Tamandua tetradactyla: one gene and its partner. The protein of the gene in region 2 binds, or shares a complex with, the protein of the main gene of each other region. Links are inferred from orthologs where the notes say so. Each region holds a gene or a part of one and is shown on either strand. Other genes may lie near its edges.

Evidence for each region. The genes of interacting proteins can lie anywhere in the genome.
Region 1: the proteins of ETFB (region 2) and ETFA are in contact, whole or in part, in a crystal structure (PDB 2A1U), measured with the Homo sapiens proteins. The link is inferred for Tamandua tetradactyla from reciprocal best matches to the Homo sapiens genes ETFB and ETFA. Residues at the interface, in NP_001976.1 of Homo sapiens: Ile14, Tyr16, Val18, Ile20, Val22, Val29, Thr31, Phe41, Leu102, Arg106, Lys124, Gln125, Ile127, Asp128, Asp129, Asp130, Cys131, Asn132, Gln133, Gln136, Met137, Ala139, Gly140, Phe141, Asp143, Trp144, Pro145, Gln146, Thr148, Phe149; in NP_000117.1 of Homo sapiens: Glu27, Leu88, Pro89, Glu90, Ser113, Ala114, Phe115, Lys117, Asn118, Pro121, Arg122, Ala124, Ala125, Lys126, Glu128, Val129, Ala130, Pro131, Ile132, Ser133, Arg146, Thr147, Ile148, Tyr149, Ala150, Gly151, Asn152, Ala153, Leu154, Cys155.

What each region holds. Positions count from the first base shown.
Region 1 is NC_135340.1:90,701,467-90,708,896, reverse strand, and holds the start of ETFA (electron transfer flavoprotein subunit alpha, mitochondrial), read right to left. Parts: upstream 3,004-7,430; 5' UTR 2,875-3,003; coding exon 2,836-2,874; intron 1-2,835. UniProt on the Homo sapiens protein: Heterodimeric electron transfer flavoprotein that accepts electrons from several mitochondrial dehydrogenases, including acyl-CoA dehydrogenases, glutaryl-CoA and sarcosine dehydrogenase.
Region 2 is NC_135342.1:9,987,429-9,995,027, reverse strand, and holds the start of ETFB (electron transfer flavoprotein subunit beta), read right to left. Parts: upstream 3,019-7,599; 5' UTR 2,624-3,018; coding exon 2,477-2,623; intron 605-2,476; exon of another isoform or gene 512-604; intron 1-511. Other genes in the region: CLDND2 (claudin domain-containing protein 2), read right to left, coding at 4,000-4,073, 4,252-4,371, 4,482-4,622, 4,742-4,923, 5,332-5,360; protein NKG7, read right to left, coding at 6,970-7,028, 7,156-7,290, 7,387-7,530. UniProt on the Homo sapiens protein: Heterodimeric electron transfer flavoprotein that accepts electrons from several mitochondrial dehydrogenases, including acyl-CoA dehydrogenases, glutaryl-CoA and sarcosine dehydrogenase.

The sequences.
Region 1 (7,430 bases), on a different chromosome or scaffold from region 2:
CAACAACAATAATTTAAATCCCTGTAAGAATGTTAAAATTGAAAATGCCTGACTTTTTATTTTCCCCTGTGTGTTCTCTAGCTTCTTACCATAGATGTAAAATACCACCTTCATTGACAGATGACGTTATGGAAGGGGTCCCGAAACCTCAAAGACTTTACTCAATGGCACAAACCAGTCAAAATTGGAAATGCAACTTTGATACCAAAGGCAAATCATTTAACTTACATTCTAACAATTAAGATAATATTTTAAATATAGTTTCTAACTTGATTATTAAAAGCATGTTTTTGGAAATATATCTTCCTAAATTTACTCATGGCTAGCTACAGAACAGTTAGAAACATTTGAAGAATGGAGATTTGAGATCAGCTATTTTGATTTTATGGCCTTATGAATAAACAGGAGCCAGACTGAAGAGGCTCCCCCTTTACAAATATGGGACAATTTGTTCATCAAAATATATATACAGAAAATAATAGATTATAACTCACTAACTGAAATATGGATCCATGAGTCCATAAATAAATAAGAAAGAAGGCAATGTTCTTCCCTGTAGTACAATGCTAACTAGTAAGTGTAGAAGGAATGGTGGAGTTAGAAAGTTACCATTTTGCAACCATCATAATAAGCATTTCTCAGGCAAAAATCATCACAGGATGAAAGTCTGATAAGAAACAGAATAGTTTCAAAGTCTCAATGCATCTCTCCACAAATTACTTTAAAATTCACAAAGGAAGACTAGTAACTTTACAGTGAGAAACTGGTGAACTCAACTTTAGCAAAGGGATTCAAGTTGCACCAACAATGATGGGATAAACCAAAATAAAGCGTCACCTAATATGCACTGAATTAACTACACATTACATCTGTGATAATTTGCAAAAAATACATAACCTGAGCCTGACTGTAAGGAAACATCAGACAAACCCAAATCAGAAGACAGGATAAAAAATAAAAGGTCTATACTCTTCAAAAATGTCACTGTCATCAAAGCCAAAAAAAAACAAAGGAGGAACCTTTCTAACAAAGACTAAAGAGACATGAAAACTAAGTGTAAGGCATGATTCTGGACTATCCTAGACCAGAATAAGGAAAATTGCTATAAACCACATTGATGTAACTAGCAAAACTTGTCAATAGCACTGTATCATTATTAAACTTCTTGATTTTGACAATTATACTGAGTTTTTCAAAATGAACCTCCTTGTTCTTAAAAAATAAACACTAAAAAATAAAAATAAAAAACATTTATACTTTAAAAAATATTTAGGGGTATTGGGCATGTCTGCAATTTACTCTGAAATGGTTCAGAAAATAATAATATGAATATATAAAAAGAGCTAAAACAAATGTGTGAAACTTAACAATTGGTGAAAGAATTGAAGAATTCTTCGTACTATTTTTTCATATTTATTATAAGTTGAAATATTTCAAAATTTAAATTATCTGTACTTATGTCCTGTTTTGGAAGTGTTCCCACCATTTCCCATACACTTGTAATTCAAATCTCTCATACACTCTCAAAGACTTTAGAGCAGCTACTCTCAGCTTCAAATCAAGGTCAAAGTCTTTAGAAAAGTCCTTGGAAAACTGCAATAAACATCTGGAAAAACCATGTCTGTTTATAACGGTGTAAATAAGAATTACCAAAAATCAATCCTGATTTTTTTGTTAGTGCTACAAAACTAATGAGTCTGCCCCCCAAAATCGCTCATTTCATATATGCCAGACTCTAATCCAGTCCATAAAACCACCTTTCAGTTATTCACAGATATTCTTCCATAAATCCGGCTCTGATTTCTGGAATCTTCCCAAATGCAAGACTTATAACTTGTTTCTATCTACATCATACTGGGGGAGGGGAACTCCCGGAGGAAAGCGAATACACAAACCTGAAGGATGTGGGTTTTTAGGGGAGGGTGGGGTGGGATTTTTTATGGAATAAGGAATAAGCCCAAAGAAAGGGCCTACAGACATCTGGATAGATTGACAGCTACTTCCCGGGGAGAAAAGCCCAGCGGTGAATGGAAAATATGCCAAACACCAAAAAAAAAAAAAAGAGGAAAGGTACAAAACGTCAAAAAGTTTCTGACCCAAGTTTAGTAATCTCGTTTCTCACTTAACTTCAATGTTAATTAGAAATCTACATAAACTGTTACTTGACATGTGTCTGGCCAGTCTCCAATTCTCCCACAGCATTTGGACAAAATTTATCAGCCCCTCCCACATTAGGAGTTAAAAAACGTGATAAACTCACGAGGTGTCCCAACTGAAAGCACCACAACGCACCGCTGCCACCGGTTCTCTGCCCATTTCAACACCACGTGCTGGCTTAAAAGCAGGTCAGACTGCAGGATCAAGACGCCCGCCGCTCAAAAGCGGCTCAAGTCGTCGGACTGGACCGCGGGCCTTGCACAGACAGTGGCCTAAAGGGAGCTCTGTCCCACTAGCCAGGGACAGACACGCACCACCCCCACGCCGGTCAGTGCCCGGATCAGACGCGGAATCCTCCACAAGCGGCGGCTCCAGGCTGGGCCGGGTTCCCAGCTCCCCCCGGGGGCGCCTCCCGCGCGACATTCGGTCCCCGCGCGTCAGGGGTCTGGGCCGCCCGCTCCCCTCCCGGTGTGGAGGACCTGGGGTGCCCAGCAGGCGCGTGAACCCCGAGAGAGGGGCCAGAGGGGGCGGGGCGCGGAGGAGGGGCGCGGGGCGGGCAGCTTCCCTACCCCGGGTCACCAGGCCCCGACCTCTGGCCCGACGCTCCCAGGCCCCGCGGGCCCGACCTGCCCGCGCGAGGGCCGGTGACCGAGCTCGGCCCTCCCCGCCCGGACTCACCGCCCGCCGGAGCTGCCCAGGAGCTGCCGCTCGGAACATGGTCTCTGTACAGGTCGGGTCCGCACCTCAGCCTCCCGGCAGCCGGCAGCCTCCAGGCCTCCAGGCCAAGACGCACGGCCCGGGCCAGCCACCCTAACGCTCGCGAGAGGCGCGAACGAGAGTGGGCGACCTCAACGCGGACCGCGAGCGCGCGCTTCCCGCCCGCCCATTGGACAACCGCGCAGCCAATGAGGGCGGCGGAAAGTTGGGGCCGGACTTGGAAGTGGGGTAAAGGTGAGGTGCTCTCTGGGAGGCTGGGTTTGAAGCGCGGCGGTGGAGCGGCCGAGGCAGGGGGGAAGGCTACTTGCGACTATGGGCCAGACGGTGTCCCAGCCCCACAACAGGCGACGTCGCTGGAGTAAACTTAACAAGTGAACTGATGACGTCACTCTCCTGGCTTCCACCCTCCCCCCGCCAGGATGAAGTCCACCCTCTCCCTCCATTCATTCATTCGCTCGTTCATTTATTCACAGGTATCAGTGCTGCAGCTATGATGTGCTAAGAACTCTTCTGGATGAGGGGAATATAATAAAAAATGCATAAGATGTTGTCCTACCTCTGGGGACCTCACAAGATTTAGGAGGAAACACACAGAAAAGCATATCCTTTACCATTATGGAAAGAGAGTTAAAAAAAAAAAAAAGAAAGGGAATGTGTACAGGGAGTTAGGGATATTTGAACTGAATTCCAGAAAAGGAACCTCCAGGACAACAAGAATGGAGGAACTGATGGGAGGGTCCAGAGAAAAGGGACAAAATTTTATGTGCTGTAGAAGGAGGAAGGGATGGCTGGAAATATGCTGGAAAAGCAGATTGGGAAAGGTCTTGAATGAAGGCATCCCTTGGGGCCTGTGGGAACTTAGAGCTATGAACCCAGAAAATCATGTTCTTAATCATAATTCTTGCCTGAGGGTGTGAGCCCATTGTAAATAGGACCTTTTGATGAGGTTACTTCAGTTAAGGTGTGGCCCACCTGTATCAGGATGGGTTTTAATCCTATTACTGGAGTCCTTTATACACAGAGTGAAAATCAGACACAGAGAGAGAAAGCTACAATGAGAGCAGTCAGAAGCAGAAGGTCGATAGAACCCAGAAAAGAAGGAGAAGCCAGAAGAAGCCACTGGATGCATTGCCGTGTGACAGAAAGCCAAGGACCAAGGATTGCCAGCAACCGATGGGAGAAAACATTGCCTTGATGATACCTTGAGTCTGGACTTCTAGTAGCCTCAAAACCGCGAGCCAATAAATTCCCGTTGTTTAAGCCAACTCATTGTAATGCATTTGATTTAGCATCCAGGAAACTAAGACAGCCCTTTTCTCCCTCCAATCTACCCAGTCTTGCTCAGCAGTCCCACTCCACCCACCCCCAAGGCTTCACTGCCAAATCTCCAGAACTTTGGATTCATATATCCACCTGCCTACTGGGCATCCACTCAGGATGTATTTCAATACCTCAACCCCATATTTTTGAGACTGAGTCATTCCCTCCCCCAATTTAATTTTCTCTCTGTAATCACTTTCTCAGAGCATGCATTCTGCCTCCACCCAGCTGCTCAAGCCAGAAACCTGGGAGTCATACTTGACTGTTCTCCCCATTATCCTCTGTCTTATCTACTAAACCTGGACAATTCCATTCCCAAAACATCTCCCAAATCCATCTAGGACTGTCCTCTACCCTATTCTGTGTCTGGGCTTCTACAATTGCCTCCTTACTGTTATCCCACCTTCCAGTCTTCCCACCCTCCAATGCATCTTCAACTGCAACTGAAGAGCTCTTTTCAAAGTACAAACTAGTGATGTTATTTTCCTATTCGAAACACTTCAGTGGCTCTCCATTGCTCTTAGGATAAAATCCAAACTCCTTAAATGACTTAACAAGCCTTCTATGAGCTGATCCTTTCCTTCCTCTTGAGCCTTGTTTTTCACACTCTCCACCCCACTCCCCATGGCCATACAAAATTTAATTTCCTCCGATGCCTTGCTCTCTTGGCATCCCTCAGCATTCACTGTGATTTGAACAGTGAATAAAAAAGTATTTGCAAAGTTCCTTTGGGGGAATGGTGAGAAAGGGGGAAAATTCAACTTTCTCAAGTCAAGAATTCTTGATATTCTCACAAGCAGTGTGGACAAAAAAAGCAATAGGCTGAGCCCCCAATGTTGGGGGTTGTTCATATGAAACTTAACCCTACAAAGGATAGGCTAAGCCCACTTAAAATTAGGCCTAAGAGTCACCCCCATGAAAGCCTCTTTTGTTGCTCAGATGTGGTCTCTCTCTCTCTCTCTCAGCTAACATGACAAGCAAACTCACCACCCTCCTCTCTACGTGGGACATGACTCCCAGGGGTGTGGACCTTCCTGGCAATGTGGGACAGAAATCCTAGAATGAGCTGGGACTCAGCATCAAGGGATTGAGAAAACCTTCTCGACCAAAAGGGGGAAGAGCAAAATGAGACAAAATAAAATGCCAATGGCTGAGAGATTCCAGAGTCGAGAGGTTATCCTGGAGGTTATTCTTACGCATTAAATAGATATTACCTTTTTAGTTAAGGCATAACAGAGAGGCTGGAGGAACTGCCTGAAAATGTAGAGCTGTATTCCAGTAGCCATGTTTCTTGAAGATAATTGTGTAATGATAGAGCTTTCACAATGTGACTGTGTGATTGTGAAAACCTTCTGTCTGATGCTCCTTTTATCTACGTTATGGACAGATGAGTAAAATATATCGATTAAAAATAAATAAATAATAGGGGGAACAAATGTTAAAATAAATTTAGTTGATTGAAATGCTAGTGATCAATGAAAGGGAAGGGTAAGGGGTATGGTATGTATGAATTTTTTTCTGTTTTCTTTTTATTTCTTTTTTTGAATTGATACAAATGTTCTAAGAAATGATCGTGATGATGAATATGCAACTATGTGATGATATTGTGAATTGCTGATTATGTATGTAGAATGGATTGATCATATGGTAAGAATTTTTGTGCTTGTTTGTCATGTTTTAAAAAACTTTAAAAATTAAAAAAAAAAAAAACACAGCTCAAGTGACATTTCTTCTGCAAAGCCTTCCCTAGTCCTCCAGGATGAAGGAATCTGTCTTTCACCTTTACTCTCTTACCTTTCTCAATGAGGACCTGGGGGCCCACTTTCAGCATACTCACATCCGCTGCAGACATGTCTGTGTTTGTGCAGGGGCCCGAGGCTGTGGAGCCCCACTAAATCCGCGTGTGGGAGGAGGGGACCATTAAGTCCCATTGACCACTACGCTGCCTCCCACCCCAGTACCCCACTGGACTGAAATCTGAGTCCTATGGAAATTAACAGAAGAGATGGGAGTACTTTAAGTCAAAACCGAAAGGGATATTTTGCTTAAAAAAAAAATGTAAAAAATTGGGATACAAACTAACCTCTTTCCCTGTCCCCCGCCCATGACAAAGCAAAACGCAAAAGGGGAGAGAAGCTTCCCGACCCACACAGGACGGAGTTGGCACCTCCCAGGCTCCAGTGAATCAGCAGCAGCTGTGCCCAGCAGAGGCGCCATGCCCGGGGGAAGCGGTGGATCCTGGAAGAACAGGGTCAGAACAGAGAAGGGGCACCCATGAGATGCCTCCTGGGTGTTTGGGAGGCATGGGAGATAGTGGGAGCTTCCTGCATTTGCAAGAGGAGAAGGGCCAGAGAAATGTGCTTACTAAAGCATTCATAATATCGGGGTCTGTCTCTCCCACTCCATTAGGAGCTTCTTGGTGGCAGGAAACGTGGGTTTTATTATCTGGTTGATATTTGTGGATGTTCAATGAGTGTCTGTAAAAATGTTTGTGCACAGAGGAAAGGAGAGAAGAAAGGAATGCCTAGAGGGAGGGGTTGTCACAGTCAACCCCTGAAGACTGACTCTGTTTGGAAAAACACCTCTTTCCTCTCCACAGGCCAGTTTGGGGAGCAGCTCCTTCGGGAGTCTGGTGGGCCTGTCTTCCCACTGAAACTTGGATGAGGAAGGATAGATCATTGAACTACAGCCCCGGCTGCTGCAGTGATCTCAGGGCCACTACTGCACTCCTTCCTCCTTGTCCATTCTAAGTTCCCTCCACTCTCAGTCAGCAGCTCTGCTAGGCTCAGTGGCTTACCTGGTGGCTGTCTTCAGACCAGGGTTGCTGCACTTCCCCATTTGTCATGCATTCAAGGGGGTGGGAGAGTCCCCCAAGTGGATCTCCCTTGGCCGTAATGGTGACTCCTCTTCTTGCCTGCTGGTCCCTCCATACAAGGTTCCCAAAGAGCTCAGGTGGGAACCGTCACTTCCATTGCAATGGGACTCATGCCGGGTCCTCTGGCAGCAGTTTCCCCCTTTGGGGACAAAACTCTCTAATTCCACAGAGCCTAGAGTTGTGGGTACTGCTCATCACTTGACACTGATGGTAAAACGAACCACTCCTGCTTCCACCCCTTGGTTCCTGGATCCATGTATTCTTCCTGGTGGGGACACAGCACCCTATAAAGGTCTTTGATTCAGGATGTACACGGCATCCTGAAAGACAGCACCCCATCCCTACAAAGCATTTCCTCCAA
Region 2 (7,599 bases):
GCAGTGACATGTGCACCCTGAGAACGAGGGGGGCCCAGCCTCCTCCAGTGTCAAGGGGAGAAAAGTATCTCACACCCCCAGGAACCGAGAAGGATGTGGCTGGTCTAGGATCATCCCAGAGGTAGGAAGAGATTTTCTGGGGCCCGAAATTTATATACTCTGGGGGTCCTGCTGAATTGTGAATTGAGAATTGCTGTGGCTTCTCCCAGGGTCTCAGAAGAGGCCTGGAAGGTTTAGTTCCTCAACTTCTTGGAACAGGTGCCCCAGGCCAGGGATGAGTATTTACTGTGCTGTGCTGTGTCTACCAATACCCAATGCAGACACGTGCACACACACAGCACACCCATACATGCACACCCACACTTGCACACACAGCACGCCCACACATGCGTGCACATGAGCACAAAGATTCTAAGCAGAGGATCTGTTATATTTTGAATAAGTGATTAACTAAACCCCCACTACCTCCTACCAGTGACGCCCCTCACTGTGTATCTCTGCTGGCACTTACCCCATTCGGCGCTCATGTACAGAGCTCTACAAACATCACTCAGCGAATGGTCAGAACAACCAAAATAAGCAGGGACCATCACAATCTCCTTTGTTCCAAAGAGGAAACAGAACCTCATAGTGTTGGGGGCGGGGGAGGGGAAGGCTGAAGAGCAGCCCCCTAATGATATCTGTGGCCTCATCCCCAGACCCTGTGAAAATGACCTTATGTGGCAAAAGGTGCCTGGTGGATTGACGAAGCTAAGGATTCTGAGATGGGGAGGTTATCCTGGATTGCAAGGGTGGGCCCACTGCAATGACAAGGGACTTCATAAGAGAAATGGGGGATCAGAGTCAGCTAGAAAGAGATGTGATGAGGAGAGCAAAGGGACAGTGAAAGCCTGCTACACAGCTGAATTTGAAAAGGAGGAAGGGGCCATGAGCCAAGGAAGGCAGGCGGCCTCCAGATGCCAGAAAAGGATTCTCTCCTGGAGCCTTCAGAAGAAACCAGCCCTGCTGACTCCTGGGCCTTAGCCCCATGAGACTGGTTTTGGCATTCTGGGCCCCAGGAATGTAAGAGAATAAATTGTGCCACCTTTGCGGCAATCTGTTACAGCAGCAGCAGGTCACTAACACAGAGTGCTTAAATAACTCCCCATGGTCACACGGCAGAAATGGTGACAGTGAAACGTGAACCCACGCAGCTGGGCTCCAGGGTCTGCGCTCTGAGCTGTTTAGTCACACTCGCTACCTGCAACAACAGTGTACACACCAGGCAACCCCCCTGGGGGCTCAAAGTCTGGGAAAGGCGGCAGACACTAAAGCAGTCAATATATAAATTATATAGCAGATGACAAGATGCTAAGATAATGGAAAAAAATAAAACAAGACAAGAATGAGAGGAAAATGTGGTTTTAAGTGGGTAACCAGGAAAGGCCTCACACTGAAGATAACAGTTTAGCAAAGACTTGAAGGAGGGGAGGGAGCCATGCTGAGAAAAGAGTCACACCTGGGCCCTCCTTGAAAGGAGCTGTCCGGTGGCAGAGGGGGACATGTGGTTAAAAGAAAGATGCAATCACTGGCAGCCACCAATGAGCCTGATGGCAGTTGAAGGGGGGAGGGCTTCCCGGAGGAGGTGATTCAACTTTAATACAATCAGTGGGTAGCAGTTAGGCAGAGTAAGGGAGGGGAGGGCATAGGTGAAGGGTAGAATGAGAAAGGCGCCCAGGCAGGAGGCATGGGGGGAGGGGAGGGCCAAGGCAAGAAGCAGCTGGGTCTGTCAGGAAAGCAGGGGCAGGCTGGGGTTATGGAAGCACAGAGGGTGAAGCTGGAGGGGACAAACCCGTGAGGGGGGTCAAAGGCCAGGCTGAGGGGATGCAACTTTGTTAGGAGGTGGGGAGGGTCCTGGTCAACCACGGGAGTGCAAGGAGTAGGGTGGCAGCAGGGAAAGAGCCCTGGAGCTGGTAGGGGGTGGACTGGAAGCCATGGAGGAGACTGAGCAAGGGTCCCAGTGGGAGAAGATGAAGCCCGAACTGCTGGGTCCTGAGGAGGAAGAGGAAGAGACAGGGCAGAAAGGCAGGAGAGCCGGAGGGTCCCGGTTGAGACTGTGGGAGGTGAGGGAAGGAAGGAAGCAGACCGTGCTGGGGTCTGGCCCAGTGAATGGGGAGCTGGCAATGTCTGAACCATTTCTTTGTCCTGGGAAGAACCTCAAGAGACACATCCTCTGTGAAGGCCTTACAACACTGCACAGTTCGAACTCCCTAAATGTTAGCAATCATAATCACTGAAGTTTCAGGCCCACGGTTGACTCCTGGCCCCTCCTGGCCCCCCATTTCACTCACTAAAATCAGTACCAACTTTCTGGCCCTGTTTCATCTGTGCTGAGACCTCTTAGGTGCCAGGGGTGGGGAGGGGCACTGCTGGGGACACAGATGTAAGCTCTCAGTCTGAGGGGGGAGACAGCCATGGATGGATAAACAGTCATCACCTTCAGTCTGGTTTTCAGGCCATGTATTGAGAGAGACTGGCTTGAGGGGTGCTGTGCTTGATTCATCTTCTCCAGACCAGCTTCCCTCTGGAGAAACCCAGCCTTGCCCCACGGGTCAGGCTGGCTGTGCTCTCCAGGCACTTTCATCTCCAGCAAACAAAAACGCTCTTCCCAGCTTCCACTTCTAGCTAAAGCCTCCTCACTGACTCTGTGGCTCTGTGCGGTAAAAGACCTCCTCCTGAGAATTACAGCTTCGTGGGTAAAAGCTAAGGAGTCAGGAGGCCCAGGACTGCAACGTCGGCTCTGCCCCTTCCTGGCCGCCCTGTGCCTCAGTTTCCCCGTGTGTTAAAAGGGTCTAGGATTCCCCCAGTAGCTAAAAAATACAGGAGGTAACTTGCTCTGCACACAGTTCTCAACATTGTATGTCCAAAACTGGGGAAAAAGGACGGGGTCAGAACCTCTCCGTCCTTGATCTTTGCCCCCAGGTGCGACTTTGACGTTGGGGATAAGCACAGCAGAGGTCAGAGGTTACGAGACAGCGTGCGCTCGTGACCCGGGAAGTATACGGCCGCGGGGCTCAGGGACGTGGGAGAGGGGGACCAGATCACCTTCACGGCGAAGTCGATGACCCTCTTGACGCCCACGAGCGCGCGCAGTTCCGCCATCTTCCCGCCGCCTCAGCCGCCGGCCCCTCGGCCCGGACGCCACGCCCCCTCTCCCGTCCCTCTCTGCGCCTGCGCACCGCCCTCCCAGTCAGTCAACCACGGCGGGGCCAGCCAATGGGAGGCCGGCAAGCGAATGTGACCAAAAATAGGGCGCGGCTCCCGGGTGAGAGGCGGGAACAGGAGGGAGGAAAAGGCCCCGTGAGGGGGCGTGGCCAGGAACTAGAGGAAAGGTCGTGTCGGCTGCGGGGGCGGGGCCGCGAGGGGCGGGAGGGAGAAGCTCCGGGTCGCCCTAGTCCCCAAGTTCCCCACCTCTTCCCTACGCTGTCCCCAAGCGTCCACACCCCACGTGTCCTCACTTCCCCCCGTGTCCCCGCTGTTTTCTATATCCATGTCCTTTGTCCGCTCCACGTTCGCGCGTCCACGTACATGTCCTCCCGCGTGTCCACGTTCCCGCTGTTCATGTTCCCAGTCCACCCCACGTACCCCAGGTCTGCGGCCCGCGTCCGTGTTCCCGCCCTCCCCACGTTCATGTCGTCCGGTGTCCTTGTCCCCTCCCTCTCCACACTCACGTGTCCTCCGTGTCCCCACCCTCCCCACATTCATGTTCCCCCATGTCCTCTGCACACTCAATGTCTCCCGTGTCTGCGACCCCGTGTCCGTGTCCCGCCCTCTCCACGCTCATGACCCTGGTGTCCGTATCTCCCGTGTTCATATCTCCGCCTTTTCCACGTTCACGTGCACCGTATCCGTGTCCTCGCCCTCTCCACGCCCATATCCCCGTGTCCCCACGACCCCCAGAAAGGCGCGCGAGCCGCGGCGCTGGCAGCCGTTCCTTTATTCTGCCGCAGGAGGCCGCGCTCACAGGCACACGGGGAAGCCGCTGATGGCGTCGGTGCTCTGCAGGATCATGTCCGCCAGCAGAAAGCCGAAGCCTGGCGGGAGAGGGGCGGTGGGTCCCGGGGCGGGACGGGCCCGGGTAGAGGTCTAGGTCTGGGGGCGTGGGGGTGGCGGGTTGGGGGTCGGTGGGGGGCTCCCTGGGCCGGCGGCTGCGGGGGCCGTGGGGTCGCCTGGGCGGTCCCTCCACCCGCGTTCTCCCGCCGTGCCGGTTACCCGCGAGAATAGAGAAGGGTAAAGCCAGCCACCCCGCAAAATAGGACCAGGAGAAGAAGACGTCGGACTTCCAGGCGTCTTTCACCGTGTAGCCTGTTAAGGCAATGAGCAGAAGCAGCCCTGGCCCCCCGCCCGCCAGGTGAGCGCCGCCGGGTGCGCACGGCCAGACCCCGCCCCCGCCCCCGCCCGCCTCCCGCCCTCCCCCAGCCCCGGAGCCGCTGCGGTCTCACCGCTGAGGAAGAGGACGGCGCTCGTGGCCTGGCCCCGCAGCGCGTCGCCGTGGCGGCACAGGATCTTGAGCCCCATGGCCATGCCCACAATGCCGGAGCCCGCCGCCAGCACCATGCACGCCCCGGTCACCGCCAACATGGCTGGGGAGAGGGGCCGCGTCAGTCCCGGCCGGCGTCAGCTCCCTGGGGTGGGGGCGGGGAGGTCGGGGGCGTGGCAAGGCCCCCCGCGGGGCTGCGGTCGGCGGGGAGCCGGGCCTCACTCTGGCAGGGGATGACGGAGCAGGTGCCCTGGTGACACTCCTGCCACAGGCCGCTGTGGCCCTCGGGGTAGCGACTCCAGTAGTTGGTGGCAGCGGACAGCACCATGAGGATGTTGGCCAGCAGGCTGAGCAGGGTGCCCCCCCTCTGAAGGCTGTGCTTCACCCCCATGCCAGGGAGGCTGCTGCGAGGGCCACATGCTCAGGAGGAGGCCACACCCCCGACCTCAGCCCAGGCCCGGGCTTCCCATCTGCCCCCTCCCCAGACGCCACCCCCAGATCCCTCCATCTCCCCACCCCCCCAGATCCCAGGCTCAGTCCCTTCTACCCCTCTGAGACCCCCTCCCCTAGCTCCTTCCACCCTGCTGAGACCCCCTCCCCCCAGGCTTCTCTCTCCCCAGGCCCCTTCCCCAGCTCCTTCCATCCCCCTGAGGCCCCCTCCCCCACACCTCTCTCCCCAGGCTCCTCCCCCAGCTCCCACTATTCCTCAGTCTCCTTTCCCAGCACCCCTGTCACAGGTGGGGGTGGGGTGGGGCAGACCACCCTCGGGCCTTCCTTTCCCTCCTCCAGGGATCCCTGCTTGGAGCCCTTACTCCTGGGCTCTCCTCTCCCCAGCAACCATGCCAGTGTCCCTGAGACCCCTTCTTCCTCCAGGTTCTCTGTTTAGGAACCTCCCTGTCCCCTTGAGACCCCCCTTTCCCAGAGGAGTCTACCCCTTTGGCCCTTCAGTGTGCACCCCCCCCACACACACACACCCACCTAAGTGACCACACCGAGTTCCCCAGGACTGCTACACACAGAGCCGGGGTCAGGGGAGACTGGGCCTCTGTGAGGCAGCAGGAGTTCCAGAACCCCCTTCGCCAGTGGCCATTTAAAGAGATAAAGCCCTGCTACCCCCTCCTGCATGCATTGGATTCCCAGCAATGTGACAGCTCTGAGTCAGACAGCAGGTGTGGCGTGGGTCTTGACGTGGTAGACCACTTCCTAGGTCTAGATACTGCTTTTCCCTTAGCTTCTGGGGCACCCCACAAGCCCTCCTGGTCTCCTGCTGTCTGGCTGTGCCCTCAGGACCCCTGTGGGCTTTTTTTCTCCCCAGCTCACCCCCCCCACTCCTCAACATGGGTTTTCCTTGAGGCTCCATCCTGCACCTTCCTTCCAAGTGAGCCTGCAGCTCCTTGCAGCCACCCCAAGCTCCATTTGCAGCCCATTTCTCCCACCCACTCCCCTAGGCCCCTGCTTGCTGCCCGCCCCCTACCCCATAAAGCCCTTGAGTCCCCAAGTCCTATTCCTCCTGCCCCCTGAAGCTGACTCATTCCCCCCTTTTCTTGCACTTAGCCCCAGGCCTGACCTATCCACCCCCACGGGTCCCACTGCCAGGGGCTTTCCCTGCCCTTCCCGCCTCCCTGTAAACCCCCAAAGGGGTCTGACACCCAGAGCTGGCCACAGTCCTTCTCTGCTCACAACCTCCTCTTTGCTCCTGGTCATATTCAGGAGGGAATTAAAGGTGGTCTTAGAGGCCCTGCCCCCCTCACCATTCTCCATTCCAGCCACAAAGTGCAACCTCCACCCCCGGCCAGCCCCTGGGCCCTCTGCCTGCACCGCCCTTCCTGGCTCCTCGAAAAGTACCAAAATGCCTTCTGCATGGTCTTTCTCTGGCCCCCTCCCTGGGAGCCAACTCTCTGGCCTGTGTTAACTGCTTTTCATCTTTACCTGCCCCTGCCTTCCAGTGTGTGAGACCACGGCAGGGCCCTAGGTATGACTCAGATCCGCTGCCCACAGAGAACCCAAGCTCAGGGGAGTGAGTGGATTAATGCCATGTGCAAAGGAGAGGAGAGTGAGGGAGAGGGTGACGGAACCTGAGAGGAGGAGAGAGCTAGAGACAAAGGGAGAAGGACACGGAAGAAAAGAGAAAGAAGAGAGAACAGGGAGCTCCCTGCGGGCTGGTGGGACTCTCCCACTTGGCTGGGCACCCCACCCCCACCAGCCTCACCCCTCATGGAGCTGACGCTCAGGTTGGTTTATGTCTTTGCTGAATTAATCTCAGAATAACCACATCGCTGCAAAACTTTGTTGAATGGAACAAGATACAAATGAAAGGACTGGGGGTGGGGGGCTGGGTAAGGGCTGAGGGGGAGGGGAGGGATGGAGGGCGCGGCGTGCTGGTGCCTCCCAATGGACACTGCCTGCCAGAGAAGAGGGCTCCAGAGTTCACCTGCCATCCTTCCATCAGCTCACAAAGTCTCGTAGCCCGGCCGGGGGTCACTGCAGTGGCTGCCCAGACTCAGGGCCCCTGGGTGGCCAGAAAGAGGTTAGCACTTGTCCCCGCCCTGCTCCCTCGGCCCCCCACTGGGCCCTCTGGAGCTCCCCGGGGTGGGGTGGGGTGGGGTGGGGGAGCTGGGCTGGAGGGCAGCTGTCACCTGCGCAGAGCAAGAGGAGAGCTGAGACCCAGCCCAGGTAGAAAGACCAGGAGAAGAAGGTCTGGGTCTGGGGTTGCAGCGGCTGGCCCCACTGCTGGATGGTGTACACGGCCATGGCGACCATCATGGAGAAGGCTGGGGGTGGGGGCGAGAGAGACGGTTCAGCCCCTCGGCAGCAAGTCCCCTGCCCCCCTCCCCCCCCATGATGGCCACGCCCCTCGGAGCCCTTACCTGCAACAAAGCCTGTGACAGCGGAGAGGAGGCCGCGGTGGGGGACGGACAGCGAGGGGAAGCAGGACAGGACAAGCAGACCCAGGGACACCAGGCCCCACAGGGCGGCCAGGATGCAGAAGCTCTGAGTCACGTGGATGTAGCCTGCCCCGAGAGGAAGCTGTTGAGCGCCTGGCCCTGCCAGCTGGCCCCCCTCCGGAGAGCCCCCTCCCA